Callithrix jacchus: one gene and its partners. The protein of the gene in region 3 interacts with the protein of the main gene of each other region in a pairwise test. Links are inferred from orthologs where the notes say so. Each region holds a gene or a part of one and is shown on either strand. Other genes may lie near its edges. The genes, in order: QKI, PKP2, DMRTB1, RBPMS, CTBP1, EXOSC1 and IL16.

Region 1 (4,179 bases), on a different chromosome or scaffold from region 3:
ATGTTTGTACTGGTCTGATAAAAAACAGTCAAACTTCCTTGTCATTATATTGCCCATTTTAAACATACTATCTGCCATACAGAAGCAATCTTTACACTGGGAGTTGACAAGGCTAAAACTAGAGTAAGATGAGAAATGGAATAAGCCACATTACAAGGGGAAGGGGAAACAAATATAAGGAGATTTCCTCTCGGTCTCCTACATTTTAAAGTCAAACGATTACTATTTCCAACCAGAGAGAAATACACCTTGGTTAAAAATAGGGACGTAATTCAAATTTCTGGATTTGAAAAATTAAAAATTATTAAAGCAAAAAGTTAGAAACTTGGTAACAAGGAACCAGCTCTAAATTATGAAGAGAGTTTAGATCAACATAAAAGCACAAGTGAGACGCCCTTTTAAACTAAAGAAACTCCAAAGTATGCAGCTTTTTAAATAGTATACTAAGGTGAAGTATTTTCACTTTTTTTTGAATCTCCTATAGTCTCTGAATTCAACATTTCAAGAATGCAATTTAATTTTAACTAACCCTAAACATTGTCAAGGTCTATTTTCATTTTACCGTCGAAAAAGGATTCCTGCTAAACAACTGCACTCAAGAAAAAAACTTTTACCAGAAATTGTTACTAGCACTATTAAAACTTAACCAAAATATGCGAAAGAGAAAATGTTATTTTTGAAACGTCATAAACTTGTGCCAATAATTGTGTTTTCAATGTTCGAGAACACTATAGGAACACGTGATGACAAATCAAATAATCCATACTTAATTTAATATAGGTCAGATTACTGTGTATGTTTCACATTTCGTTCTGACCATTTTCATGGTTAAAAAATAACTGGCGCCCCTTAGCGCTCACATTCGGAAATACGCAATTTAAGAGTTACAGCAATTTTTTTTTTTTTTTTTTTTTTGACATTCCAGAAAGTTTTCTGCCTCCACAATCTTTCAAATGCCAACACAAATAGGAAAAGCAGAACCCCTTAAAGGGACAGCTGAAGTTTTCTCTGGAGCAACCTGAAATTAGCAGATCTGTTGTTCCAACAGTGGAAAATGCCCATTTCAATGTGGGTGAGTGCTGTACGTTTAACACACGGAAGCACAACGACCAGAAAGCCTAACACCTAACCATTTCCTACTTTTGTTTCTACGACTTTCAATACAACAAAACTCCTGGGATTTTTCTTTAACCATCTTTTTATCATGTAAACATTTCCGGCCTTTTGTTCTTTGGTGACATTCCAACTCCCCAAGCTTCAAACTCCTTTTCCCCGACTACTTTTAAAATCTCGAAATTCTTGCGAAAAACCTAAACTCCACTATTTCTTCAACCTACAGTTTTTGGTTTCCATTTTACAGTCCTCCAGTAATGCCTCTAAGCAGAAAAAGAAAAAAATCCTGGCTAGTCGATTTTCGAAACAGACATTTTTGTGTGTGGTCATTTTTTTTTTTTTCTCTAGGTGTCCGCAGAAACCCACAGCTACTAAAAATTAATACTCCAGGTCCTGCTATGAGAACTTCTTAAGGAAATTCCAGAGTTGGTCAACATTAATCTTCTTGTCATTCTTCGCTCCCCACAGAGCTCCATAAAGCTATTTGGAAACTTTGGCTCAATTTTATTTCGCCCTTTCCCAGCGTCTCGATTCCCTGTCCTGAAAACTCAGGCGGCTGCGTCCCCGAGAGCAAACCCTCCGCCCAAGTTCTTCCTAACTCAGGCAGCGCTCCGATCTGTCATCGCGGTATTTCGCTCTCCACCCCCCCCCACCCCCGAAAAGTGAAGTTCAACTCCCTAACAGTTCTCGCTTCCCCAAACAAAAGGAAAAAAAGCGCTTTTCGCCGTCACTTCGTCCTCCCTGTCGGCTACGCCAGCATTACTTTCGGTCTCCTACCGAATTTTCTTGAACGAGCCCCACGCTGACTTCCACTTACTATTTACCAGCTGCACCAATTCCCCAAGCACGAAACCCCGCTTTGGTCCTCACCCGGAGGGAGAGCTCCCGAACTCGGGGCAGCGGGGGTCCGCACCGGGCTGGTTCGGGAGACCGAGCGGAGGAGCGGGGCCCGCGCCGGGGACACGCGCGTCCTCCAGGCCGGCGGCGCGGCGTGGGCCTGCTCTCGAGAGGGCTCGGCGAGGACCACCGAGCCCGCGCGGCCCCCGCCGGCCTCTCGGAAATGTGACCGCCAAAGCTAGAGGGGCCGCAGCGTCCGCCCCGCAGCCCTCCGCACGGCACAAACTTGGGCGCCAGCAGCACTGGGTCCCGGCCGGGCGGGGGCCGTCCGGCCCCGGCGGGTCCACCCCGGCCCGCCCGCCCGCTCGCCCGCTCGCCGCCGCCAGCCGGGCCCCGCGCCTTCTTTGTGCGTCCTCCCGGCCTCCCCGTCCCCCCGGCGCGCGGTCCCGCCCGGCCGTGACCTACCCGCCCTCCCCACCATCCGGAGCGGGGAAAGGGGCTGCCCCGGCGGGGTTGGGGCCGGGGCCCGTGAGGCGCTCACCTTCGTCCAGCAGCCGCTCGAGGTGGTTGAAGATCCCGCAGAAGTTGGGCAGGCTGCTCATGAGCTTCTTGTCGTTCATCAGCTGCATCAGGTAATCTGGGGTGGGCTTCGGCTTCTCCTTCGTTTCCATTTCCCCGACCATATTCCAGGCTCCGCAGCTCACTCCGCCCGCCGCCGCCGCCGCCGCCGCCGGAGAGGAGGGAGGGGCGGGGGCGAGCCCCGGCCGCCGGCCGCTCGGGACCCGGCGTCCCGCTCCGCGCCGGCTCCCGCTCCGGCTCCCGCGCCGAGCCCCGGGGCGGCCGGCACCGCGCGCTCGCCCGCCCCCCGCAGGCACTTTCCGCCCGGGGCCGACGCGCTCCCGGCCGCCGCCGCTCTCGGCCGCCCGACTCGGCGCGTCCCTCACGAGGCCGGCGGGAGGCGGGTCTCGGCTGGCCGAGTACGGGCGCGGGGCGCGGGCCGCTGGCGCCGGACGAGGAGGAGCCGGGGCCGCCGCTAGCTCGGCTGGTCGCGCCCGCTGAGCACCGCCGCCGCCTGTGCCGCGGGCTCGGGGGTCTCTCTGGGCTGGTGCCCGCCGCGGCGCCTCTGCCGCTGCCGCTGCCGCCGCGCTCTGACTGCGCTCCTCCTCTTCCTCCTCCTCCTTCTCCTCCTCCTCCTCCTCACTCACTTGGCGGCGGAGTTCGCCTCAGTTCAGGCGGCGCTGCCAGCGGCGGCGGCGGCGGCGGCGGCGGCGGCAGGGGGGGAGGGGCGGCGGCGGGGGGAGGGCCGGGGGCGGGAGGCGGGCGGGGCCGCGCAGGGCGGCCGTTAGCGGGGCCGGGCCGGCGCGCTCCTGCAGCCCGCTGCCCGCCGCCCCCCACCCTGGCAGCCACTGGCGCCTGGCTACCTCCTCCCTGCCTCCCCGGCGGGGCGGGCGGCGGGAGCGTGACGGTCGGCGGCGCTGGGCGGGCCCGGGCCTGGGAGCAGAGGATGGGGTCGCTGCCGTGCCGGGCGCCCGGGGTGCGTGGGTGTGGGTTGCAAGGCTGTCGGCCACAGGGTGCGGGGTACGCGGGGCTTTCCACGGCAGGGGGCGGGCGGGGCCGCGGGCGCGGTCGTGGCCCCAGCGGCGGGCGAGAGGAATCCCAGCGGGACGCGCCAACGGTGCCTCCGCCTCGCTCCTCGTTACTATAGTTCTTTCAAAACCTCTCATCCACCCCGCAGAAGAGAAATTTTTTTAACGTCCTGTTGCTTCACGGGGGACTTTCGGGGTGGGCGTCACGTGGCCCGACACGTAGCTGTGGGGCTCCAGAGCGCGTGCGCGCGTCGAGGCTGGTGGCCACGCCCATCCTGAGGGTCGCTCCGCCCCCGCCGGGCCCCGCCAGCGCGCGGTGGGGGAGGCGCGTGGCCCGGAGTGCGCCTGCGTGGGGCGGGGGCGGGGGCGGGGCTGGGGGCGGCAGCCGCCTAGGGTCTGAGTCTGGCGGTTTTGACCGGGGCCCAGGCGCGTCGCCCACCGTGCGGAGGGCTGGTCGGCCTGCACTGGCAGTCCGGCCTGACGCGGCGCGGGTCTCGGCTGCGGGGGGCGGGGGGTGCGGAGGACAGGAGTTTGAGGCTTTCTGAGGCGCGCGCCCCGGCGTCCGCCTCTGCGGGACTCTGCGCGGGGCGCCCTCGGTCGGCGCGCCGGGCTCCGGCTTCGTCGCCGAGGGAACCACGCGCGA
Region 2 (3,500 bases), on a different chromosome or scaffold from region 3:
GCCACAGCTGTGATTTAGTAACAGCAGAATGTAGGGAGAGCAGGAGTCCTCTGGACAGGCAAGTGCCCTTTTCCTCTGCCACTACCATCTTGGGAGGAGACGTCACACCAGGTGGCTTAGAAGAAGCAGTGATGGCCAGGCACTGTGCTCAAACCTGTGATCCCAGCACTTTGGGAGGCCAAAGCAGGTGGATCACTTGAGGTCAGGAGTTCGAGACCAGCTTGGCCAACATGGCAAAACTCTGTCTCTACTAAAAATACAAAAAATTAGCTGGGTGTGGTAGTGCGCACCTGCAATTCCACCTACTCCAAAAACAGGCTTGAGAACTGCTTGAGCCCAGGAGGTAGAGGTTTCAATGAGCCGAGATCATGCCACTGCACACCAGCCTGGTTGACAGAGTGAGGCTCTATCTCAAAAAAAGAAAAAAAGACAAGCAGCAGCAGTGATGGCACAGGAGAAGCAGTGGAGGGGAACCTGATGAGAAAGTCTTGTTTTCACAGTTTTTTCTCTATCTTATCTCTTCCACCTCTTATTCCCTTTTGAGAATAGAAGGTCCGGTACATGTCACTCCACTTCCCTGTTCCTGTTTTCAACTTTTTCGTATTTAAAAAATAACAAAGTGGGGATGAGAATGAAAAACCTTATATAACCAAATTATTTACTATTAGAGTGATGAGATTGGAAAGGGACATGAATATTCTCTTTTTCTCTTTATTCAATTCTGAGTTGTTTAACTTGTTACATATAGATACAAGTTACTTTTATAAATAACCAAACAAGAAAAGAAATGGCCACTATAGCCAAGTTCTAATGAATTACAAAGCAGATAACTTCACCTGTACTGAAGAAACATGGGTGTGCTTGGCTGTACAAGGATGTACATTGTTTCCTCCACCACAGCCCCACCGAATTTAGGCCCCTTCTCCTCTGTAGCCCCACTCTGCAGTGCACATGAGGAAGGAAAACTGCATTCAGTGTCAGATTAAAACAAGCCCTGAGCACTGGAGTGTTATATATCTGACCTGTCATTTGTGGGCTAGCCTAGGAACTAATTATCATTTATAACATCACATCTTTGAATAAATGAGTATCAAGTACCAAACAACCAACTTATAAACAAACTTTATGAATATAACACCCTTGCAATTTAATAACTTTTTACAGTTTCGAATATTAGAGACCCATCACTTCCATGGATTTATTTGCCCTTCAGTTTTCACAAGTGATTCTGAAAAGTCCAGGAGGTACTAGCAAGTTTGTGAGATGCTGGTTTGACTGATCCTCCCTGCCGGGCTAGTATGGAAGAGAAAGGCTTTTCACTGTTGAAAGAACACATCATGCTCTTCTCTGTACGTCTTTGCACTCTCTGGTTATGGTTTTATGTTTACAAACGCCTATGATATGAGTAAAAAAAACCTTGGTTTAAAAAAAAAAAATCAGCCATGTGCTAGTCAGGGGATAGAAGAGAAAGAGCTCTAAGGCAGCACTGATCTAAGCCAAAAGTGGGACATTTAGGATAAATTTAAAAGCAGAACATGGGGCAGGCAGGGTGGCTCACGCCTATAATCCCAGCACTTTGGGACCTGAGGCAGGTGGATCATCTGAGGTAAGAGTTCAAGATCAGCCTGACCAACATGGAAAAACCCCATCTCTACTAAAAATACAAAAATTAGCCAGAACGGTTGTGCACATCTGTAATCCCAGCTACTTGGCAGGCTGAAGCAGGAGAATTGCTTGAACCGGGAGGCAGAGGTTGTAGTGAGCCGAGATCACACCATTGCAGTTCAGCCTGGGCGACAGAGCGAGATTCCGTCTCAAAAAAAAAAAAAAAATTAAATTAAAAAATTTTTTAAATAAAAAATAAAAGCCGAGCATTAAATACTAAGTACAATGTCAAATGCAGTGGTGACTTGGATTTATAGCAGGAACAAGTTTTCCATTTGCTCTATACCGAAACATGAAGAGATTCTGAAACTGCTTTAACAAGGGCTGCCACAAGAATCTCTTTTATTGACTTGAAAAATTACTTTACTCCTGCATTCATAGCAGCACAAAAATCATGTTTATTTTTCAGTCATACTTTCATGCATTTTTATTCTGTAAACATACATTATAACCATTACAAATATAGATTCTATTCTATAAATAATTCAAGGATTTGCAACATGTCTAAGGATATATTCCTTATAAATATCAGGGATTTTCTCTATAAACTATTTATTTATTAGCACTGTCCTAGTGGTTTAAAAAGAAAACAAAAACAAATGTGGTCCCTGCCTTCCAGAGCTCACTGTCTAATTGGTCACCGAGTGACCTGACTTCATGGACGGCTGCTGGGAGCGGCAGTTGAAGAGTGCAGAGTCTTACAGAATGTCACCAGGCAGCATCCAGAAGCCTCAGTCATTCTGCCTGATCTCAGAATGTTCTTTTCTTTTCAGCTATGCCTCCAACAAAGCAAGTAAAGCTGCTTCTGTCCTCCTGTATTCTCTGTGGGCGCACACGGAACTCCATCATGCCTACAAGAAGGTAAGAACAGGAACAAGGAATGTGTCATAGTTAACAGAGGCTGGTAATAATGGCCCTCTTGACCCTAGTAAGAAATCACTAAAAAACTGCATTTTTTTATGTGCCAGTTTTGTTACCTTTCACGTTTCTGTTTGCTTATTCCTAAGGCTCAGTTTAAGAAGACAGATTTTGTCAACAGCCGGACTGCCAAAGCCTACCACTCCCTTAAGGACTGAGGAAAATGAAAACGTATTCTCAGCTGCAAAAAACCCCAAAGGAAAACACCTATTTTTCTACTACCCAGCCCAAGAAACGTCAAAAGCATGCCTTGTTTCTATCCTTTTCTATTTCCATGGTTCCCCAAATCCTGCAAACAAATAGAACATAATTTTATGAGTCTTCCAGAAGACTTTTGCAAGTTGCCACCAGTAGATACTGGCCTCAGGCTCTGTTTTACCCCCTACAAATAGTGGTCCTTATTATTGGGCTTATGGTGCATGGCCTCCTGGAACCAAAATATGAATTCATGTGGAATGGGCATTCATCCAGTAAACAAGGAAAGAAGCTGTTGCATTACTGGGATTTTAAAAGTTTTATTTACATTTATACTCCTTTTCTGGGTCGCTTGTTTTGTCACTCATGTGCACATTGCTTCCCCACTGGGCCACGAGTGTGTTGTTCTGCAGTGTTGAAACAGAATGGAAATGACAAGAAATGTCTGCAGTTATCCAGGAGAAAGTAGAATGGCAAAATTGTTTGTTTCTTGGTTTACCTTGTACTTGTTTTTATGCCCTTGAGTTGTTTTTTTTTTCTCTTATTTTTAAGTTAAGAAATTTAGATTACAGAATATGCATGACTGTGAGAAAAAAATTGAGAGGAAGTGATCATAGCAAATTAAAAAATCTTTTCCTCCCAGAACTTAAAATAAAATTAATAAAAATAAAAATCTTTTCCACAGAGAAAGGCAACTGTGATTATAAAATTTAACATTCTCC
Region 3 (3,500 bases):
GGAGGCCTGGTTTCCTCACCTGGAATCCCATTCCCACCTCCCTTAGATGCGGGCTTATGGGGACTGGAGAAGGGGTTAAGAGCTCATCCTAGGGTTCAGCATCTTTTAAATTCCATGTCCCTTCTTTCCACACCTAATCAGATTAGGTACCTCTTCCTCCAGAAAGTCTCCCTGGTTCTCCTGGAAGCTCACTCACCAGTGTTCTCTTTGTCAGGATCAATCAGGACGGTCAGTGAGAAAGATGATGGAGGTGGTGGTGGCGGTGGCGGTGGCGGAGGGAGGAAGTGGAGGGCAGAGAGGTATCCTGGTGGGAGGAACTGGGGCTGCGGTGGAAGAGGTGGAAGGGGCGGCAGTGGTGGCGGTGGTGGGTAGTAGCTTGGCTGGAAGTCTCCCACTGGTTCCGATGCCTGCACAGCACACATAGCAGAGAGGCAGAGTGGGGAGAGAGTTAGCCAGATGGGCTGACCAAACATACAGGCACAGGGCACTTGGAAGGAGGCATTCAGCAAGCACCTGCCAAATTATTGAAGGCAAGAAGCAACACAGGCAACCTCAGATAAGCATGGGAACAGCTGAGTGGTCAGTGACTGAGCCCTTCTGTGTATGGCAGGGGGACTGTGCTGGGGTGCTCACGAACCTAGGAGGGGGGTTCTACTACTGGCCTTGTAATGATGAAAACCAGCTTCAGTGAGATGAAGCTACAGGCCCAGGGCCCCAGAGCTGCTTTGTGGTAAGGGCAGAACTGGATCCAAAGTTGGCTGACTCCACAGCCCACTCAGCTGACTGTGCAGCACTGCTCTGCACTGGGGAAGGGTCTGAATGCATCCCAACCCCACAGGACCCCCTGTCTGGCACATGTGGTGACTTAAACTTAAGTGCCAGGGGGCCTTTGGGAGAAGAAATTGGCAATATGGGTGTAGTGCAGCTGTTTCTGAAGCAAGACACGCTGGTGACTTCAGACAAGTGGCCTCATTGACCAACACTTGCTGCTTCTGTTCCTTCAAGGGATGGACTCCAACCCCTTACTGCAGCACAGAGCTCCATCACAGGATCCGGACGGGGATGACTACACAGCTCTGAGCTTAACTGAGAAAGACATGAATGTCCTAAGAAGTAATACTGACTTTTGGATGTAGTTCCTGTCATTTCCTTCTCATGCTTCAGAGCAACGCTTCCTGAGCTGAGTTTCAGGGAGCCCTGGTGTCCTACAAGACATTTCTTAGTAGTCTTAAAAGTGTTATTTGTTAAGTGAGTTTGAGGAACCCCACATAGTACTCCCCACATTAGTGGGTCACACAAGAGTATATTAAAGGCTCAGAAGAAGCTGTAAAAATCTCCTTAGATTAACCCAGCATTTCCTAACTTTTTTCCACCACCAGGAAGAGGAGAAAGCCCACTTTTAAGCACCTACTATGTGCCAGACCCTGTGCTAGGTATTTCACATGCATTGCCTTATTTATTCTACTCAGGAGCCCTATGAAATAGGTCCTCCTACCCCCATTTTACAGACCAAGACCAAGCGAGGCCCTCAGAGGTCAGGTAACTGCCACAGAGCACGTGGTTGGGACATGACGGAGGAGGCAGGATTGGACCTTAGGTCTGTCCACCTCCAGGGCCTGTGCTGTCCTGTGAATAGGAGAGCAGAGGAAGCCAAGCAGCAGCAGGTGGGGCAGGGACAAGAACACGGAGGAGGAAGCTGCTCTGGGGAGCACCTCCACGCCTCGGCAAGGGGCAGCAGGACATGGATGAAAGTGATTTAGGGGCTCTGGGGTTTGAAACAGCTCACAAATCAACACCTGATCCTCTCTCCAGACGAGAGAGGGTGGATGGGGGATTATTAGTGTTTTAATTCCAAGCTGCCCAGCCAAGCGTTTCCCCGGATCACAGCTCCTGCCTGGGGCCTGTGGTGGCAGCTCGTGCCCAGATAAACCAACTGAGATCACACTCTTAACAAAGGCCGTCTGGCAGGCCTGTCAATCAGAGCCCTGCCCTGGACGCCAGGCTCCAGGCTTCTGCATGAGCAGACGGAGCATGCTCTACTTGGCCAGAGCCCCACTCTTTGTGTGGAGGCTGGAGATGCCTGGCTCTCCCTGGACAGTGCCCACAGATGTCAGGCAAGCAGCAGTGGTGGTGCAAGTCAAAAGCCAGGTGTGTTCTACCTCGGTATGAGAGAGGAAGGAGCAGTAGATAGCGCCTGGGCTCCAGAGTCAGGGCAGCTGAGGTGTACAACGTGGTACTGTCACCAACCAGCTATGTAACTGGAATCCCAGTCTCTCTCTCTCACCAGTTTTGTGACCCTGGCCAAAGACATAGCTTCTCTGAGCCTTTTTTCTCAATGCTACAATGGGGTATAACACCTACCTTGAAGGTTCAGTAGGTACCCTGGAATTATCAAGGCCAGTGGCTTTCAAACTTTCTTTCCTTGAACCAATGGAAAATGATTTTTAAGTACAATTTTACAACATCTAAGACAAGTGGGAGAGATGCTGCTGCCACCAGGCTGAAGCAGGAGAGAGGACCCGGTGACCTGTGTATCTGACCTGCCCAGGCACAGCTCAAGCCCCACTGGACCGGCTCCACGCTGTGTAGCTAATGACTTTCATTAGGGAGGAAGCAGGCTTTTAGCCATCCTAGTCTGGAAGGAGCTGGTAACCAAGCCATAAAACCCAATCACACTTGCCTTGCTGTACACACCATAGGGGTGACCTGACTTTACACACTTGGTACTCAAAATTCCCAGCTCAGTGAGAACAGTAGCTAGCAACTGACTTTAATTAATCTTATGAAGGATTAAATTTCATTCTCTCAACAGGTATTTCCTAAGGTGTCAGGTGTTTGGGGGAAGGGTTCCGTATTTTTCATCACTGAGCTCAAACACCACCTCCTCCTGAAAGCCCTCTGCAGTCTCAAGTGTGCTATGCCTGTGCACAGGAGCCTACCTCTGGTCCTGGCTCTGCCCTAAATTTTGTGGTCCCAGGAAGTGATATTCCCTCTCTGGAGGCCAGCAAAATGAAGGTCCCTTCTAGCATCAGCATGAGTCAAGGCAAGTGTCACCTGGAAAGCCCACAGCCCTGAAAAGCACAGGCCACAGTCCAGGCCGAGTGGTGCAGACTGGTCCACACGTGTATGCTCCCAGAGACACACACTGTACCTGGGCAGTGCCTTGCCCTCCACCAGCATTCAGGGGCTGGCACGGAGTCGGGTACATGGTTTATGACAGTTGGCTTCCTGGGACTGAGGATCCATCAAGGCGGCAGGGGCAGCTGGGAGGAGGAAGAAGCTGGCAAGGAGTGAGGGGGGTGGGACTCACCAAGCCTCCGCCTTGGTACTGGCTGTGGGACACATGCCGGAAGCCCTGCTGCAGGGGGACGCCAGGAGGGGCGTCCGGGTAGCCCGGCGGGAACGGGCAGTAGGCGTGCATGCTGGAGCCGCCGGGGTACTCAGGGCCTAGTGCACGGTCCGGGTGGATGCTCAGATGGCGCCCTAAAGAAGGCAAGCAA
Region 4 (4,083 bases), on a different chromosome or scaffold from region 3:
TCTGTATGGGAATTTTTAACCTTCGTAGGAAAAGCAATGGAACATCATGGTAGCTAAAATTGCAAATCTCAAACTTGGCAGAATTATTAGAAAAAAGTAAAGTTCAGTAGAACAGATTGTGAGGAAAGCATTATTCATGTCACAGGAGTTTACAAATAACAGGTGTACAATGCACTGGGATGTTTCTCGCCCATTAATGGAAACGCTCCGGAGACTGTACAGTCAAGAAGATGGATAAGGTTGTAGATCCCTTCCGCTATCTCCAGTGATTCATTTTTTTTTTCTCTAATACTGCCTAACTTCCTCTGTTACAGACACTGGGTAGTATCAACATGTTTCCTTACTGTTCAATCTGAAAGACAAACCCTCCAAAAAATTAAAAATAGAAAAAGTAATGTTCTGATTTATCTGCCATCAATACTTTTTATTTGTGGATTCTCTTAATACCATATCAGAAATAACTTTATAATTTATTTTTTTGAGATGAAGCCTCGCCCTGTTACCCATGCTGGAGTGCCGTTGCGCGATCTCAGCTTACTGCACACCCCGCCTCCCCGGTTCAAGCGATTCTCCTGCCTCAGCCTCCCAAATAGCTGGGACTACAGTCACCTGCCACCACCCCTGGCTAATTTTTTGTATTTTTAGTGGAGACAGGGTTCCACCGTGTTAGCCAGAATGGTCTCGATCTCCTAACCTTGCAATCTGTCCACCTCGGCTTCCCCAAGTGCTGGGATTACAGGCGTCAGCCTATTTTTTATTTTGTTGTTTCTTTTTGTATAGAGAGTCTTGCTAAACAGTATTTCTTGGCCCTTGCCCATGCTAGCTGTTCCCTTTGGTGATACGGGCAAAATTAACCCAAACCATGAAATAAAACATTACACTCTATTTCCTTCTTCCCTGCCTCTCCAGGTTTCCATCGCTTTTCACCTTAGCCCTTAGTTTTGTTGCACTGGTAGCATCCTGGAGCCTCGCAGGTTTTTCTCAGCTCATTCACTCTCTTTTCACCCTCAACCGTGGCAGCTCCAGAATGCGGGTTTCTGGTGTGTTATCTTCTGTTTCTGTGAACTTTCGCTGCCAGTCACTGCCTTTCCATTTTAATTGCATTCTCCCACCCCCGCAGTCTTCCTGGAATGCTTCCTGTTTTGCTCAGGTGGGTCTCATCCTCCCGGGGCCCGCATCTCCTCTTTCGCCTTCGTCTGACTGAGCCCGGTTGCAGCTGAGTCCTCGGCGTGGGGAAGTGAGGTGGGGGAAGCTGAGTCAGGTGCGCGACCTTGTGTGTCCGCACTTCCGGTCGCGCGGCCCACGCCGGCCGCCATTATGATGCAGAGCCAGGTGAGTCGTCTGGGCCCAAACCTGCTGTTGGAAGTGCAAGGGCACCGAGAACCACCCTACCTGTAAGAGATCTGTTAAACTTCCTCAGATGGGATGGGGAAAGGTGAGAGGGTGACATTTCAGGTGACCAATGCCTGAACTGGGGCTTCCAGGGAAAGGCTAGAGAAAGACGTGGCGAAAAACTCTCCCTCCTGGGGCTGTGACTTCTATTATATTTACTCATCGTAACTTTTTTTTTTTTTTTTTTGAGACTGAGTTTCACTCTTGTTACCCAGGCTGGAGTGCAATGGCGCGATCTCGGCTCACCGCAACCTCCGCCTCCTGGGTTCAGGCAATTCTCTTGCCTCAGCCTCCTGAGCAGCTGGGATTACAGGCACGCACCACCGTGCCCAGCTAATTTTTTGTATTTTTAGTAGAGACGGGGTTTCACCATGTTGACCAGGATGGTCTCGATCTCTTGACCTCGTGATCCACCCGCCTCGGCCTCCCAAGGTGCTGGGATTACAGGCTTGAGCCACCACGCCCGGCCAACATTGTAACTTTTTAAAAATAACTGTGGAATTAATAGTAATTCCCCTGAAATACCCACCCTGTGTTGATGGAGCAATGGCAAAAAGCTCGTGCTTAAGTATTCTTGTCCACAGCGTTGCCAGTGCCTCCTTGGTACGGAAAACCAGGTGTGACAGAGTCACCTCAAGCCCCGCAACTTCTCCAAAACCCGAATCTGCGTGAATATTGCCTTTCTATAAAATAATGGAATCCGTTTGCCAAGTCTATATTCTCCTAAACTGTAATACTTAATATTTTTTTCTCTGAAGTCTTATTTTAAATGGTTTTTTAAATGGTGCCCTGCACTAATGTTTTTGGTAATTATGGCTAAAAAAAATTTAAAATCTTTAAGTGATGTAAAAAGAACCTGAATCTGGAATATGCTGCGTGGATACTGCCTTTTTAAAAAATACTGGAATCCGTTTGCCCAAAGTCTATATTCTCCTAGACTGTAATACTTAATATTTTTTCTCTGCAATCTATTTTAAATGGTTTTTTAAATGGTGCCCTGCACTAATGTTTTCAGTAATTATGGCTATAAAAATTAAAAGTCTTTAATCTGCATGATATAGGAAAAAAAGCTGTGTAGAATAGTAGTTAAGAGCCCAGGCTTTGTTGAACTGCCTGAGTTCAAATCAAGCTCTAACACCAGCTGTTTTGATTTTGGACCTGTTCCTTTACCCTCAGTTTCCTTATTTGCAAAATAGTTCCTATCTTACAGGGTTGTGGTCAGGGTAATTGGGTAAATACAGGTTTACAGTTGCTTATCTGAAATCCTTGGGGCCAGATGTGCCTAAAAATCTTTCAGATTTTATACTGATTGATAATTGACTGAGGCAGTCTGTTTCTGTGGCCCATGCTGGAATGCAGTTAGCTCACTGCAACCTCCACCTCCCAGGTTCAAGCAATTCTCTGGCCTCGGCCTCGTTAGTAGCTGGGACTACAGGGGCGAACCGCTATGCCCGGCTAATTTTTGTGTTTTTAGCAGAGATGGGGTTTCGCCATGTTGGCCAGGCTGGTCTGAACTCCTGGCCTCAAGTGATTCTCCCACCTTGGCCTCCCAAAGTGCTGGATTACAGGTGTGAGCAGCCACCCCGCCTGGCCTCTTTCAGATTGTAAAAGACAACATAGTACATAACGCATTGGTAACATAATATAGTGAGGTCTAAGGTAGCACATAGTAATTAAGCACATTAATATTTTTGCAATGAAACATGAATAATACACTAAGTGGGATAAGTTAAAACTATAAATAGTTTAACATCACTTCATATCAGGTTTTGCCACCCAGTGAGTTTGCACTGCCCTCCTCCCAGACTCACCACTGTAGGCTTTTAGAGCGTTTAGATTTTGGAATTGTGGATTAGAGGTTGTGGAGTCATATGTAAACCATTTGAACAGGGCCTGGCATATAGTAAGCACCCTATAAATGTTATGTGCAAAACTGAATTCTTCCTATACTTTATGACTAGTTTGTCATTATTTAAAAGAGTAGTTTAAATCATAGTGCTTTAAAGTGGATGTAGTGTAGGCCTATGTAACTATTTGTGTGTATTTTTTGCATATTACTCCCTCATTTGGGTTTCAGGTCTGTTTTTCCCATGGTAAAAGAACAAGAGAAAACAAGGCAGAGCAGAAAAGTTCCATGTTCCTTCTCACTCCTGCTTGCCTAGTCAAAACAATTGAACAGTTTAAGATGTCTATTTCAAAGATTTCAAGTAAATTCTAAAATGTTTCCTCTTGTCGTGACTTGTGACTTCAGCCTTGACTTGCCACTCTGTGCATCTAAATCTTTTGATCTGCTTTGCTGCCAATGGATTATTTCCAGAATATGATGGTGTAGACATTCTTACATTTTAGGCAATTTAAATGCTTCTAAGATTTTTTTTCTTACCCAAAAGAGGTGGCTTCTGAGTTTAGGACTGTGGGATTGATGTTTTATGTGAGTTCATGGCTGTGTTATGTTATTTGGCCTGAAAGTCTAGTGATCTGGTACATTTTATCCTGTGATCCATTAATATGTATTGAAAATATACTGCAGTTCTTACAGTGAAAAATAATTAGACCCATTTCATCCTCTTTCTACTTAATACACATATTTACCCAGTCTAAGCCTGATTAAGAAGGGCAGTGTGGGAATGGCTGAAAGAAAAATACATGCTTTTCAAAAGGTAAACCAGAACTGGAAGCAGAAACTCTGAA
Region 5 (3,114 bases), on a different chromosome or scaffold from region 3:
CCCCTCTCCACCGAAGGGTCTGTGGGTCCCACAAGCTGATCCTGCCCCTGCCGAGGGTATCTTCTGTAACTAACATCCAGCCCAGGGCTGCCTGGGGTCCCAGAGCACTGTTTGCAGGTAGGGATGTGACCCCGTGGCTCCATGGCCAGGGCCGTCGGGGACCACTCACAGACACTGGAGCCTCATGCTCTCCTGGCTGGTTGGGAGCCCTGCCCAAAGAGAGGCTGCGGAGCACAACCAGTGCCTCCCAGCATTGAGGCAAGGCAGGCCTGGAGCCCATGGCTCCATCCTCATCACACAGTGGAGGGCAAACTCCCCCAGTGCTGGCTAGCAAGAGGCTGAGCAAAGACAAGTGCCTGGCCTGGCAGGAAGGTGGGCAGGGAAGGGCAGGGACGGCACCAGCCGTGGGGGCACCTGAAGGGTTCCGACTCGTGCACGTCCAGGGCCGCGCCGCGGATCCGGCCCTCCTTCAGGGCCTGGGCCAGCGCCTTCTCATCCACCAGGCCACCCCGGGCCGTGTTCACCAGGAAGGCCCCTTGTCTCATCTGGAAGACATAAGGACAAGGCTAGGCTCAGTCAGGGATCTGCGCAGGGTGGGTGACCAGGGAAGCAAGGGTGGCAGTGCGCCCCCTCAGGTGGGGGAGCTCCCTGGCCCCTTCCCAGCCCAGGCCCACCCTGGGCATTTGGCACCATGGCCCTGGCAGGCTGGCTGGGGCTCAGGCCTTAGAGACCTGCACAGCCCCACACCTCCTAGAGAGCTCGACCCTCCTGTCCAAGCCGAGCTGAGGACTGGGTGGGGCTCCGGGCTTGGCCCCTGTGGTACCCTCTTTCTGGGTCCCCTCCAGCCCAGCCTCCCAACACCCAGGGCTGCCTGCACTGAGGCGTGGTTTTCAACTCCAGCCCCACCCGGGGCCTGCAGCAGAGCCTGCTGTGTTTCATGCGCTTTCACAAAAGGCCCTTGGAGAGGCTCCCCCTTGGCTTCGCAGCCACGGCTTTCCTGCATCCCTCCATTTCAGCAAAGCCAGCCCACCCAGCCACGGTGTTTGGCGGGCACCCGTGCTGGTCACAGTGGCTCCTCTTTGTGAGCTGCTGCCCATTGCAGCCTCACACCCAAGGTCCTCAGAGACAGCAGGGCTCTGACCAGCGTCCATGTGCCACACCCTGTGCACTAGAAAGCTCTGTGAACAAAGACAGGGGAAGCGGGCACCTGGCCTCATCCTCCTTGCGGCTACAGGGGTCTGGGCAGGCGGCTGACACGTGGCCCCTGACATGTGCACACATATGCACACAAACCAGCACATGCAAAGTGCAGACATATGTGCACCCAAGCACACGTGCCCATGTATATACACACCAATGCACACATACAGCCCTCTGAAAGGCCTGGAGCCAGTGGGAGCCAGGCGCCCCCAACTCCACCCACTCCAGGGGAGCACAGTGCTGAGGCAGAGGCCCGCCTGAGCACAGCCCTTTCCAGCTGCAGATTTGCAACCTGAACCTGGCGGCACAGCACGGAAGCCACAATGGCCGACCCAAGGCCCCCAGGCAGCTGCATCTGTCCCGCTGTGTGAGCGACAAGGACTTCACGGGGATCTGGTACTCAAAGGTCTGTGGTTTTGTCTCGTATGGAGAGCATTTTAGGTGTCCTGAGTAGAGCCCGGAACATGGAGAAAGCCGTCTGTGCCGATGTGGCTGACTCCAGCAGGGCTGGTGGACACCGTGGTGTGGCTCAAGGAGGGCAGAGTCTCACCCAGGTGCAGGTGGCAGCTGGGAGGGACCCACCTGACATCCCCACCTGTCCCTCATGCTGTCCCTGCCAGAAGGGAGTCCTGCCCCCGGCCCACGCACCTGCTTGACGGTGAAGTCGTTGATGAGGTGGTGGTTGTGCTCGTTGAGGCCGCAGTGCAGTGTCACACAGTCGCTGTGGAACAGCAGGTCCTGCAGGGTGCTCACGCGCTGCAGCCCCAGTGCCCGCTCCACGCCGTCTGACAGGTAGGGGTCGTAGAAGAGCACGTTGAAGCCGAAGGCCTTGGCTCGCAGCGCCACCGCCTGCCCTACACGACCTGGTGGCGTCAAGAGGCAGCATGAGACCCTTGCTCACCCACAGCCAGGGTCAGCGTGGCCTCTGTGCCTCAGTTTGACCATCTGTCTGCCAAAGATGACACCTTGGGTGCCCGCTCCACACAAGACATCTGCTTCCAATGTGCCCGCTGGCAAGGCGGAGGCTGTACACAGGGGTGGAAAGGGGTGAGCTCTCCCCTGGGCCCATACCACGTGTCAGTCATGCCACGCCCACTGCAGTCTGTCCACAGGACGCAACATGAACCACTCCGCGTCAAACGGACAGGTCAGCAGGTCTCCACCCAGCCCACACATGCCATGTGTGCCCAGGCCCCTCCGATGGTCTGCTTTTGGGTCTACCCATCAGCGTCTCTGGCACCTCAATTTCAACCACAGCTTGGTGGAGACAGCAAATGGGGCAGGAGGGAACCTTCCAGACTAGGGTGTTCCCGCTGGGGTTACGTCCTGTCCTGGTTGTGTGGAGCAGCAGAGAAAGCCACCCAGGCAGACATGCCTACCCATCCCCCAGCCCTGCTGTGGGACCTTCTCACCCACTGCCTGCCCCCACCCCAGCAGTCCAACGCTGGTGCGGGTCCCAGCACAGGAGCCTCGGAGAGAGGGCCACCAAGCTTGGCTGGGGCTGGATCTGCCCTACGGAAGGGTCTGCAGGGTCACACCCACTGTGAGCCAACAGTGCGGGCACAGACTCAGAAGCGCAGACACGGCTGTAAGGACACAGGACCCCAGACCTCGAACGCACTCTCCCCTGTATCACGTAGGAGGGGACTGCTGCAAAGGAAGGAAGCAGGGTGGGTGCTGGGGCAGGACGGGGAGTGGACGCAGTTTCAAAGGTGGCCGCCAGGGCAGGCCTCCCTGAGAAGGCCAAGCTTGCTAGAGACACGAGGGGACAGGAAGGAAGCCGGAGAGCTGAAACAGCATGTGCGAGGGGCCCGTAGTGACCTGAGGGCCAAGGAGACCAGACTGCCAGGCAGACAGGGCAGCCGGACGCAGCCCAAACACCCAGGGGAACAGGACTGGGGGAGGCTGGGAGGC
Region 6 (3,500 bases), on a different chromosome or scaffold from region 3:
TTGTGCATGTTATTTCTATTATTGCACTGTAATATATAATGAAATCATTATACAACTCACCATAATATAGAATCAGTGGGAGCCCTAAGTTTGTTTCCCTGCAACTACAGTCTCATCTGGGGGTGACGGGAGACAGTGACAGATTATCAGGCATTAGATTCTCATAAGGAGTGGGAAACCTAGCTCCCTCATACGTACAGTTCACAATAGGGTTCACACTTCCATAAGAATCTAATGCCTGCCCTTATCTGACAGGAGGCGGAGCTCAGGCAGTAATGTAAGCGATTGGGTAGCAGCTATAAATACAGATAAAGCTTCTGTCACTTGCCTGCCACTCACCTCCTTCTGTGCAGCCTGGTTCCTAACAGGCCACAGACCCACCACCAGTTGGAGACCCTTGCTTTAGTGCTTCTGTTTATGCCCTGAGGCACCGAAACTCCTTATCCTGTCTTGCCAAATCTGAGGTATTGATACTGCTGCTCCACCCTGCTCCTCTGGGTAGCAGCTGGGTCCCAAGTAGACTTGTTGTCTGTTCTTGTAGCTCTTTATTTACTAGGAATCTACAGGATAATTCTTTCTCACAGGCTGGGCAAGGTGACTCATGCCTGTAATCCCTGCACTTTGGGAAGCTGAGGCAGGTGGATCTCCTGAGGTCAGAAGTTCAAGACCAGGCTGGCCAACATGGAGAAACCCTGTCTCTACTGAAAATACAAAAATTAGCCGGGTGTGGTGGTGCACACCTGTAATATCAGCTACTCGGGAGGCTAAGGCAGAAAAATCTCTTGAACCTGGGAGGCGGAGGTTGCAGTGAACTGAGATCACACCACTGCACTCCAGCCTGGGTGACAGAGGGAGACTCTGTCTCAAAAACAAACAAATGAACAACAAAAAACAAATTCTTTCTCACAGATAATTAATCTTTATGTTAATTCTTTTTTTATAGCAAGGAAGATATCCGAGCAACTGAAAAAGACAAGGTTGTTGGTTGGTTCTTTTTTTTTTTTTTTTTTTTTTTTTAAATGGCTTTATGACTCTTAATCCTTTAAAAGTATTACCTCAGGCCAGGCATGGTGGCACACACCTGTAATCCCAGTACTTTGGGAGGCTGAGGGGGGAGGATCACTTGAGTCCAGGACTTCAAGACCAGCCCTGGCAGCATAACAAGACCCCATCTCTGCAAAAAGATCAGCATCCGAGTATAAAAAATTAAAAACTAGCTGGGCATGGTGGCTCATGCCTGTAGTCCTAGCTGGTTGAGAAGATGAGGCTGGAGGATTGCTTGAGCTGAGGTGTTTGAGGTTATGTGGTGGCATGCACCTGTAGTCCTAGCTACTTGGGAGGCTGAGGCAGGAGGATCCCTTGGTCCAGGAGTCCTAGGCTGCAATGAGCTACCATTGCGCCACTGCACTCCAGCCTGGGTGAAACAGCAAGATCCCACCTCTTAAAAAAAAAAAAAAGTGAGGATTGGGGGCAGGCACGGTGGCTCATACCTGTAATCTCTGCACTTTGGGAGGCCGAGGTGGGCGGATCATGAGGTCAGGAGTTCAAGACCAGCCTGACCAACATAGTCAAACCCTGTCTCTACTAAAATTATAAAATTTAGCAGGGCATGTTGGCACACGCCTGTAATCCCAGCTACTCAGGATGCTGAGGCATGAGAATTGCTTGAACCTGGGAGGCAGAAGTTGCAGTGAGCTGAGATCGCACTACTGCACTCCAGCCTGGGCAAGAGAGAAAAACTCTGTCTCAAAAAAAAAAGACTTTCATTTGTATGATAATACTATAGAAGCAATTAAAAGTTGTTAACTACATAAGTAATGATGCTTTTACCCTCTAGGGTTAGAAAGTAGACTGGCTTTACCAGAGAGGTTCACAGTTTCATGTAGACCCAGTCTAGAGCTTTCACTTACCATTCCTGTTCTTTCTTTACAGGTTGAAATTTATAAGAGTTTCCGCCCAGGTGACATTGTCTTGGCCAAAGTGGTATCCTTTATTCCCAGCAGAATTCTGGTCCTTTGTCAAAAGAACAGATGGGGGCTGGGTGCAGTGGCTCACGCCTATAATCCCAGCACTTTGGGAGGCCGAGTTGGGTGAATCACCTGAGGTCAGGAGTTCGGAGTTGGAGACCAGCCTGGCCAACATAGTGAAACCGTGTCTTTTTTTTTTTTTTTTTTTTGAGACGGAGTTCCGCTCTTGTTACCCAGGCTGGAGTACAGTGGCGCGATCTCGGCTCACCGCAACCTCCGCCTCCTGGGTTCAGGCAATTCTCCTGCCTCAGCCTCCTGAGTAGCTGGGATTACAGGCACGCGCCACCATGCCCAGCTAATTTTTTGTATTTTTAGTAGAGACAGGGTTTCACCATGTTGACCAGGGTGGTCTTGATCTCTTGACCTCATGATCCACCCGCCTCAGCCTCCCAAAGTGCTGGGATTACAGGCTTGAGCCACCGCGCCTGGCCTGAAACCCTTTCTTTATTAAAAACAGAAAAATTAGCTGGGCATGGTGGTGCACACCTATAATCCCAGCTACTCAGGAAGCTGAGGCAGGAGAATCGTTTGAACCCAGGAGGCAGAGGTTGCAGTGAGCTAAGATCGCACCACTGCACTCCAGCTTGGATAACAGAGCGAGACTCCATCTGAAAACAAACAAAAAAAACGAGACAGAAGTAGAAAAACAATTCAGGTGGCTATGGTGGGAGGGAAGACTTTTAACTCCTCATTTTCCTTTACCAGTGTTATGTGACTAGATCTCCCTAGGTGACGCACAGTCCAACTACCTGCTAACCACTGCCGAAAACGAGCTGGGAGTGGTGGTAGCCCACAGTGAGTCAGGTGAGGTGGCCTTGCTTCAACATCCTTACTTTCCCTGGAGTTGTGGTTTGGGATTAATCCATTGTTTTTCTTGATTTCATTATCTGGGAAGCAGTATGGCCATAGATATTTCGTTCTGAGATGAGAATGGTTTTTTTTTTTTCTTTTTTGTGTGGTGATGGTGGTGGTGCTGGTTGTTTGAGACAGGGTCTCTCTCTGTCATGGAGGCTGGAGTGCAGTGGTGCAATCTCCACTCATCGCAGCCTCGACCTCCTGGGTTCAGGTAATTCTCATCACCCAAGTAGCTGAAGTACAATGGCGCATTCTCAGCTTACTGCAACCTCCGACTCCCAGGTTTAAGCAATTCTTTTGCTTCAGCCTCCTGAGTAGCTGGGATTATAGGCAACTGCCACAGCGCCCAGCTAATTTTTTTGTTTATTTAGTAGAGACAGGGTTTCTCCATGTTGGCCAGGCTGATCTCGAACTCCTAACCTCAGGTGATCCACCCACCTCAGCCTCCCAAAGCGCTGGAATTACAGGCGTGAGCCCTGGCCTGAGTTTTGTTTTTTCAGTAGGGACGGAGTTTCACCATGTTGGCCAGGCTGATCTCAAACTCCCGGCCTCAAATGATCCGCCTGCCTTGGCCTCCCAAAGTACTGGGATTATAGTCGTGAGCCACTGCGCCCAGCC
Region 7 (3,500 bases), on a different chromosome or scaffold from region 3:
CATATGACTATTTGAGAAACTCTACAGGGAAAGTCCATGAAAGCCTTTTGGAGGGCGAAGGGACATTTTGGAAAGATCTAGCACATCTCGCCCAGAGCAGAGGCCTGTGGGGGCAGCTCCTTTCACTTCCCTTAGTCACCCTCATTGAGGAACATACTAGCGAAAGCAAATGCCTCAGTGTTGAACTGGCAGGAGCTTGTCACCCCAGTCTGTAGCGGGCTTGACTGTGGAACCTCTGCCTCCTGATTCTCACAACAGCCCCTTATAGCCAAGCCATTCAGAAACGCAGAAACAGGCTGGAGGGCTGGGCTCACTTGCCAAAGGCCAGCCTCTTGGAACGTGCAGTATTTCTCTTTGATATCATCGAGGTGTAATGCTCCACAGGATTCCCTTCTTTTGAAACCTGGCATTGAGACAAGGGGCAGGAGGGATCAGAGTTCCTTAAACTGGGTTGCGTTCCAGTAGCAAGCATCACTCAGAGCACACAGGGCAGCCTCCCTCTGCTCCTGGGAAAGAGAGCTGGGGCACAGTCTCCCCTACCCACACAGATGTGATGCTGGTTCAATGCCGGCTTCTGAGAAAGGCTGCTGTGTGCTCCAGGGCACACCTGAGGTCCTGGCTGGCACAGAACAGGCTGCACATTGCAATCCCCTGCTTATCACATGCCCAGCACCCAGGCTGCATCCCGGGTATTTTCAATCAGTACCTAGGGGTGGGCATCAGTATTTTTAGGACCCTCCAGAGTCCAGTGTGTAGCCAAGATGGAGAATCCTTGGCACAGATTTCTTTGTACCTGGAACCTTTTCATCAGCTCTTGAGGGAGGGAAAACACTCCTTTGCTGAGCAAGCTGATCAATGACCTGCGTATAGGGAGAGCGGCAAACACAGTTTCAGGGCCAGGCAGTTGCATACGTGGGAAATGCCAGCTGGGTGAGAGGGAGTGTGAGGAGCTGTGGGTAGCTACGGTGGCCTCATTGGAAGGTGTACACAGGTGCCGTGCTTTTTTTTTTTTAATTTCTCTTTATTATTGAATTGTTGATCCTTTTCTTTTGTCTAATTCATAGTACCTCCATCCTCAGCTTTCTGATTTTTTTTTTTTTCAAGACGGGGTTTCACCATGTTGGTCAGGCTGGTCTTGAACTCCCAAACTCAGGTGGTCCACCCACCTTGGCCTCCAAAGTGCTTGGATTACAGGCATGAGCCACCACGCCCGGTCAGGCGCTGTGCCTTTTAACAACATGGGTAGGCCCAAGCACAAACAGCTGCCAACTTGTGACCTGTGTCTTAAAAGTTTAAACAGTGAGAGAATTGCTTTGGCTTTTCCACATTTGACACGGTATCTTGGAGGCTCCTTAGTGCAGTAGAAAGGACGTAAACTTTGAGAGTCAGGAGACATGGCACTGCCATCAGATGGCCCCTTACCCTTCTTGAAATGTAAAATGCCAGAGATCAGCCCAGATGTTCTCTGAGTGACCTTCCTGGCCTAGACACTAGGAAGCCATGAGGTTAATTCCTGCTTCTGGCTCTTCACTGCTGCCTGTTGGCAACTCAGTCGGGTAGTAGACCTGGAGCTCACCCACCTGGTGTCTCCCACTTCTGCCAATCTCCTTCTCTTGAATCCATCTTGCTGTTCAGCTTGGAAACTAGAATTTAGGGAGAAATATCACAGTATGATGTAACGCACAGCTTTTGGCCTCGTTTCTGCACATAGTGACCCAAACATCCCCGATAAAACACCCACTGCTTAAGAGGCAGGCTCGGATGGACTATAGCTTTGATACCACAGCCGAAGACCCTTGGGTTAGAATTTCCGACTGCATCAAAAACTTATTTAGCCCCATCATGACTGAGAACCATAGCCACATGCCTCTCCAGCCCAATGCCAGCCTGAGTGAAGACGATGGGACACAGGGCCACCCAGATGGGACCCCACCAAAGCTGGAGACGGCCAACGGCACTCCCAAAGTTTACAGGCCAGCAGACAGCAGCACCGTGAAGAAGGGTCCCCCAGTGGCTCCCAAGCCAGCCTGGTTTCGTCAAAGCTTGAAAGGTTTGAGGAATCGTGCTTCCGACCCAAGAAGGCTCCCTGATCCTGCCTTGTCTGCCCAGCCAGTGCCTGCTTCCAGGGAGCACCCGGGACCACACACCCAGGCTTCCTCATCCTCCATCAAGCAGAGAATTAGCTCCTTCGAAACCTTTGGCTCCTCTCAATGGCCTGACAAAGGAGCCCAGAGACTAAGTCTACAGCTCTCCTCTGGGGAGGCAACAAAACCTGTTGGGAAGCATGAGGGAGGTCGGCTTCCTGGACTCTTGGGCCGAGGGGCTGCACCCACTCTTGCACCTCAGGAGACTGAGCAAGTGCTGCCCTCGGGGTCTCCTGCAGCCTCCGAGGCAAGAGACCTAGGTGTGTCTGAGTCCCCTCCCCCAAGGCAGCAGCCCAGTGAGAAAACTCTTCCTCCTGGCCCGGACCCGCTCCTGAGGCTGCTGTCAACACAGACTGAGGAATCTCAAGGCCCAGTGCTCAAGATGCCAAGCCAGAGAGCACGGAGTTTCCCCCTGACCAGGTCCCAATCTTGTGAGACGAAGCTCCTGGATGAAAAGACCAGCAAACTCTACTCTATCAGCAGCCAAGTGTCATCGGCTGTCATGAAATCCTTGCTGTGCCTTCCATCTTCTATCTCCTGGGGCCAGACTCCCTGTATCCTCAAGGAAGGGGCATCTCCAACATCATCATCCAAGGAAGACTCAGCTGCAAATGGTTTGGCCGAAACATCTGGCTCGGACACGGGGTTCTCGCTCAAGTGAGTTTCTATACCCGGTGTTTCTCTTCACCTTTCTCATCTTTTTCTTTCTCACCTTTCTTTTTAAAAATAATTCTATATATCATTCAAAACATTTCTCAGATATGCTGGCTAAAGGACTGTTTTGCCTCTTTACATGTGTGTGCAGATGTGTGTGTGTGTGTGTGTCTATAGGTATTACACCTGTGCCTTCCATATTAAGGAGGAGTTTTCACAACACCGGGCTTCAGGAGGACTGGGAGGTAGGGGAAGGGACTAGCTCCCTGGTGAATTGCTCATGGGGGCTGTTGCACGCCTGTGGAGGTTTGGAAGGCTGATGCACATCTAAAATGTCCTGCGGTTACTCAGAAAGACCACAGTGAGGCCAGGAGATTATCCATCGGGAATTCTTACTGCTCTCCAAAAGGAATCCACTTGTACTCTGCACATGGGTTCAACTCCCCGGTCAGGGAGTTAGGATGTCTGGGTCCTAGTCCCAGCTCAGGCACTGATTCTGACCATGAGCAGGTTCCTTCCATGCTCACCCTCAGACTCCTTTTCAGCTGAAATTAGGAGGTGGATGAACCTGCTTTGTAGAACCAGAGGACTGTCAGAGGTACCATGGGCTCCTGCTGTAGGGATGGAGCTTGGTCTTCCCTCTGATCAAACTAGCTCTGCATTTATTGGTTGCATTTATTGTTCTTATGCTGCTGGGAAATA

The links.
Region 1: the proteins of DMRTB1 (region 3) and QKI interact in a two-hybrid assay, tested with the Homo sapiens proteins (2 studies listed by BioGRID). The link is inferred for Callithrix jacchus from reciprocal best matches to the Homo sapiens genes DMRTB1 and QKI.
Region 2: the proteins of DMRTB1 (region 3) and PKP2 interact in a two-hybrid assay, tested with the Homo sapiens proteins (2 studies listed by BioGRID). The link is inferred for Callithrix jacchus from reciprocal best matches to the Homo sapiens genes DMRTB1 and PKP2.
Region 4: the proteins of DMRTB1 (region 3) and RBPMS interact in a two-hybrid assay, tested with the Homo sapiens proteins (2 studies listed by BioGRID). The link is inferred for Callithrix jacchus from reciprocal best matches to the Homo sapiens genes DMRTB1 and RBPMS.
Region 5: the proteins of DMRTB1 (region 3) and CTBP1 interact in a two-hybrid assay, tested with the Homo sapiens proteins (4 studies listed by BioGRID). The link is inferred for Callithrix jacchus from reciprocal best matches to the Homo sapiens genes DMRTB1 and CTBP1.
Region 6: the proteins of DMRTB1 (region 3) and EXOSC1 interact in a two-hybrid assay, tested with the Homo sapiens proteins (2 studies listed by BioGRID). The link is inferred for Callithrix jacchus from reciprocal best matches to the Homo sapiens genes DMRTB1 and EXOSC1.
Region 7: the proteins of DMRTB1 (region 3) and IL16 interact in a two-hybrid assay, tested with the Homo sapiens proteins (2 studies listed by BioGRID). The two-hybrid records come from large-scale screens. The link is inferred for Callithrix jacchus from reciprocal best matches to the Homo sapiens genes DMRTB1 and IL16.

What each region holds. Positions count from the first base shown.
Region 1 is NC_133505.1:169,958,217-169,962,395, reverse strand, and holds the start of QKI (KH domain-containing RNA-binding protein QKI), read right to left. Parts: upstream 2,801-4,179; 5' UTR 2,634-2,800; coding exon 2,492-2,633; intron 2,329-2,491; exon of another isoform or gene 1,984-2,328; intron 1-1,983. UniProt on the Homo sapiens protein: RNA reader protein, which recognizes and binds specific RNAs, thereby regulating RNA metabolic processes, such as pre-mRNA splicing, circular RNA (circRNA) formation, mRNA export, mRNA stability and/or translation.
Region 2 is NC_133510.1:38,675,968-38,679,467, forward strand, and holds part of PKP2 (plakophilin-2), read left to right. Parts: intron 1-2,438; coding exon 2,439-2,526; intron 2,527-2,672; coding exon 2,673-2,741; coding exon of another isoform or gene 2,742-2,886; 3' UTR 2,887-3,500. UniProt on the Homo sapiens protein: A component of desmosome cell-cell junctions which are required for positive regulation of cellular adhesion.
Region 3 is NC_133508.1:90,591,695-90,595,194, reverse strand, and holds part of DMRTB1 (doublesex- and mab-3-related transcription factor B1), read right to left. Parts: intron 3,484-3,500; coding exon 3,311-3,483; intron 408-3,310; coding exon 197-407; intron 1-196.
Region 4 is NC_133514.1:31,590,111-31,594,193, forward strand, and holds the start of RBPMS (RNA-binding protein with multiple splicing), read left to right. Parts: upstream 1-1,283; 5' UTR 1,284-1,317; coding exon of another isoform or gene 1,318-1,332; 5' UTR 1,333-1,420; coding exon 1,421-1,435; intron 1,436-4,083.
Region 5 is NC_133504.1:191,956,098-191,959,211, reverse strand, and holds part of CTBP1 (C-terminal-binding protein 1), read right to left. Parts: intron 2,064-3,114; coding exon 1,849-2,063; intron 546-1,848; coding exon 415-545; intron 1-414. UniProt on the Homo sapiens protein: Corepressor targeting diverse transcription regulators such as GLIS2 or BCL6. Has dehydrogenase activity. Involved in controlling the equilibrium between tubular and stacked structures in the Golgi complex.
Region 6 is NC_133513.1:90,258,838-90,262,337, reverse strand, and holds part of EXOSC1 (exosome complex component CSL4), read left to right. Parts: intron 1-943; coding exon 944-977; coding exon of another isoform or gene 978-984; intron 985-1,932; coding exon 1,933-1,983; intron 1,984-2,746; coding exon 2,747-2,831; intron 2,832-3,500. UniProt on the Homo sapiens protein: Non-catalytic component of the RNA exosome complex which has 3'->5' exoribonuclease activity and participates in a multitude of cellular RNA processing and degradation events.
Region 7 is NC_133507.1:26,333,103-26,336,602, reverse strand, and holds part of IL16 (pro-interleukin-16), read left to right. Parts: intron 1-1,711; coding exon 1,712-2,801; intron 2,802-3,500. UniProt on the Homo sapiens protein: Interleukin-16 stimulates a migratory response in CD4+ lymphocytes, monocytes, and eosinophils. Primes CD4+ T-cells for IL-2 and IL-15 responsiveness. Also induces T-lymphocyte expression of interleukin 2 receptor. Ligand for CD4.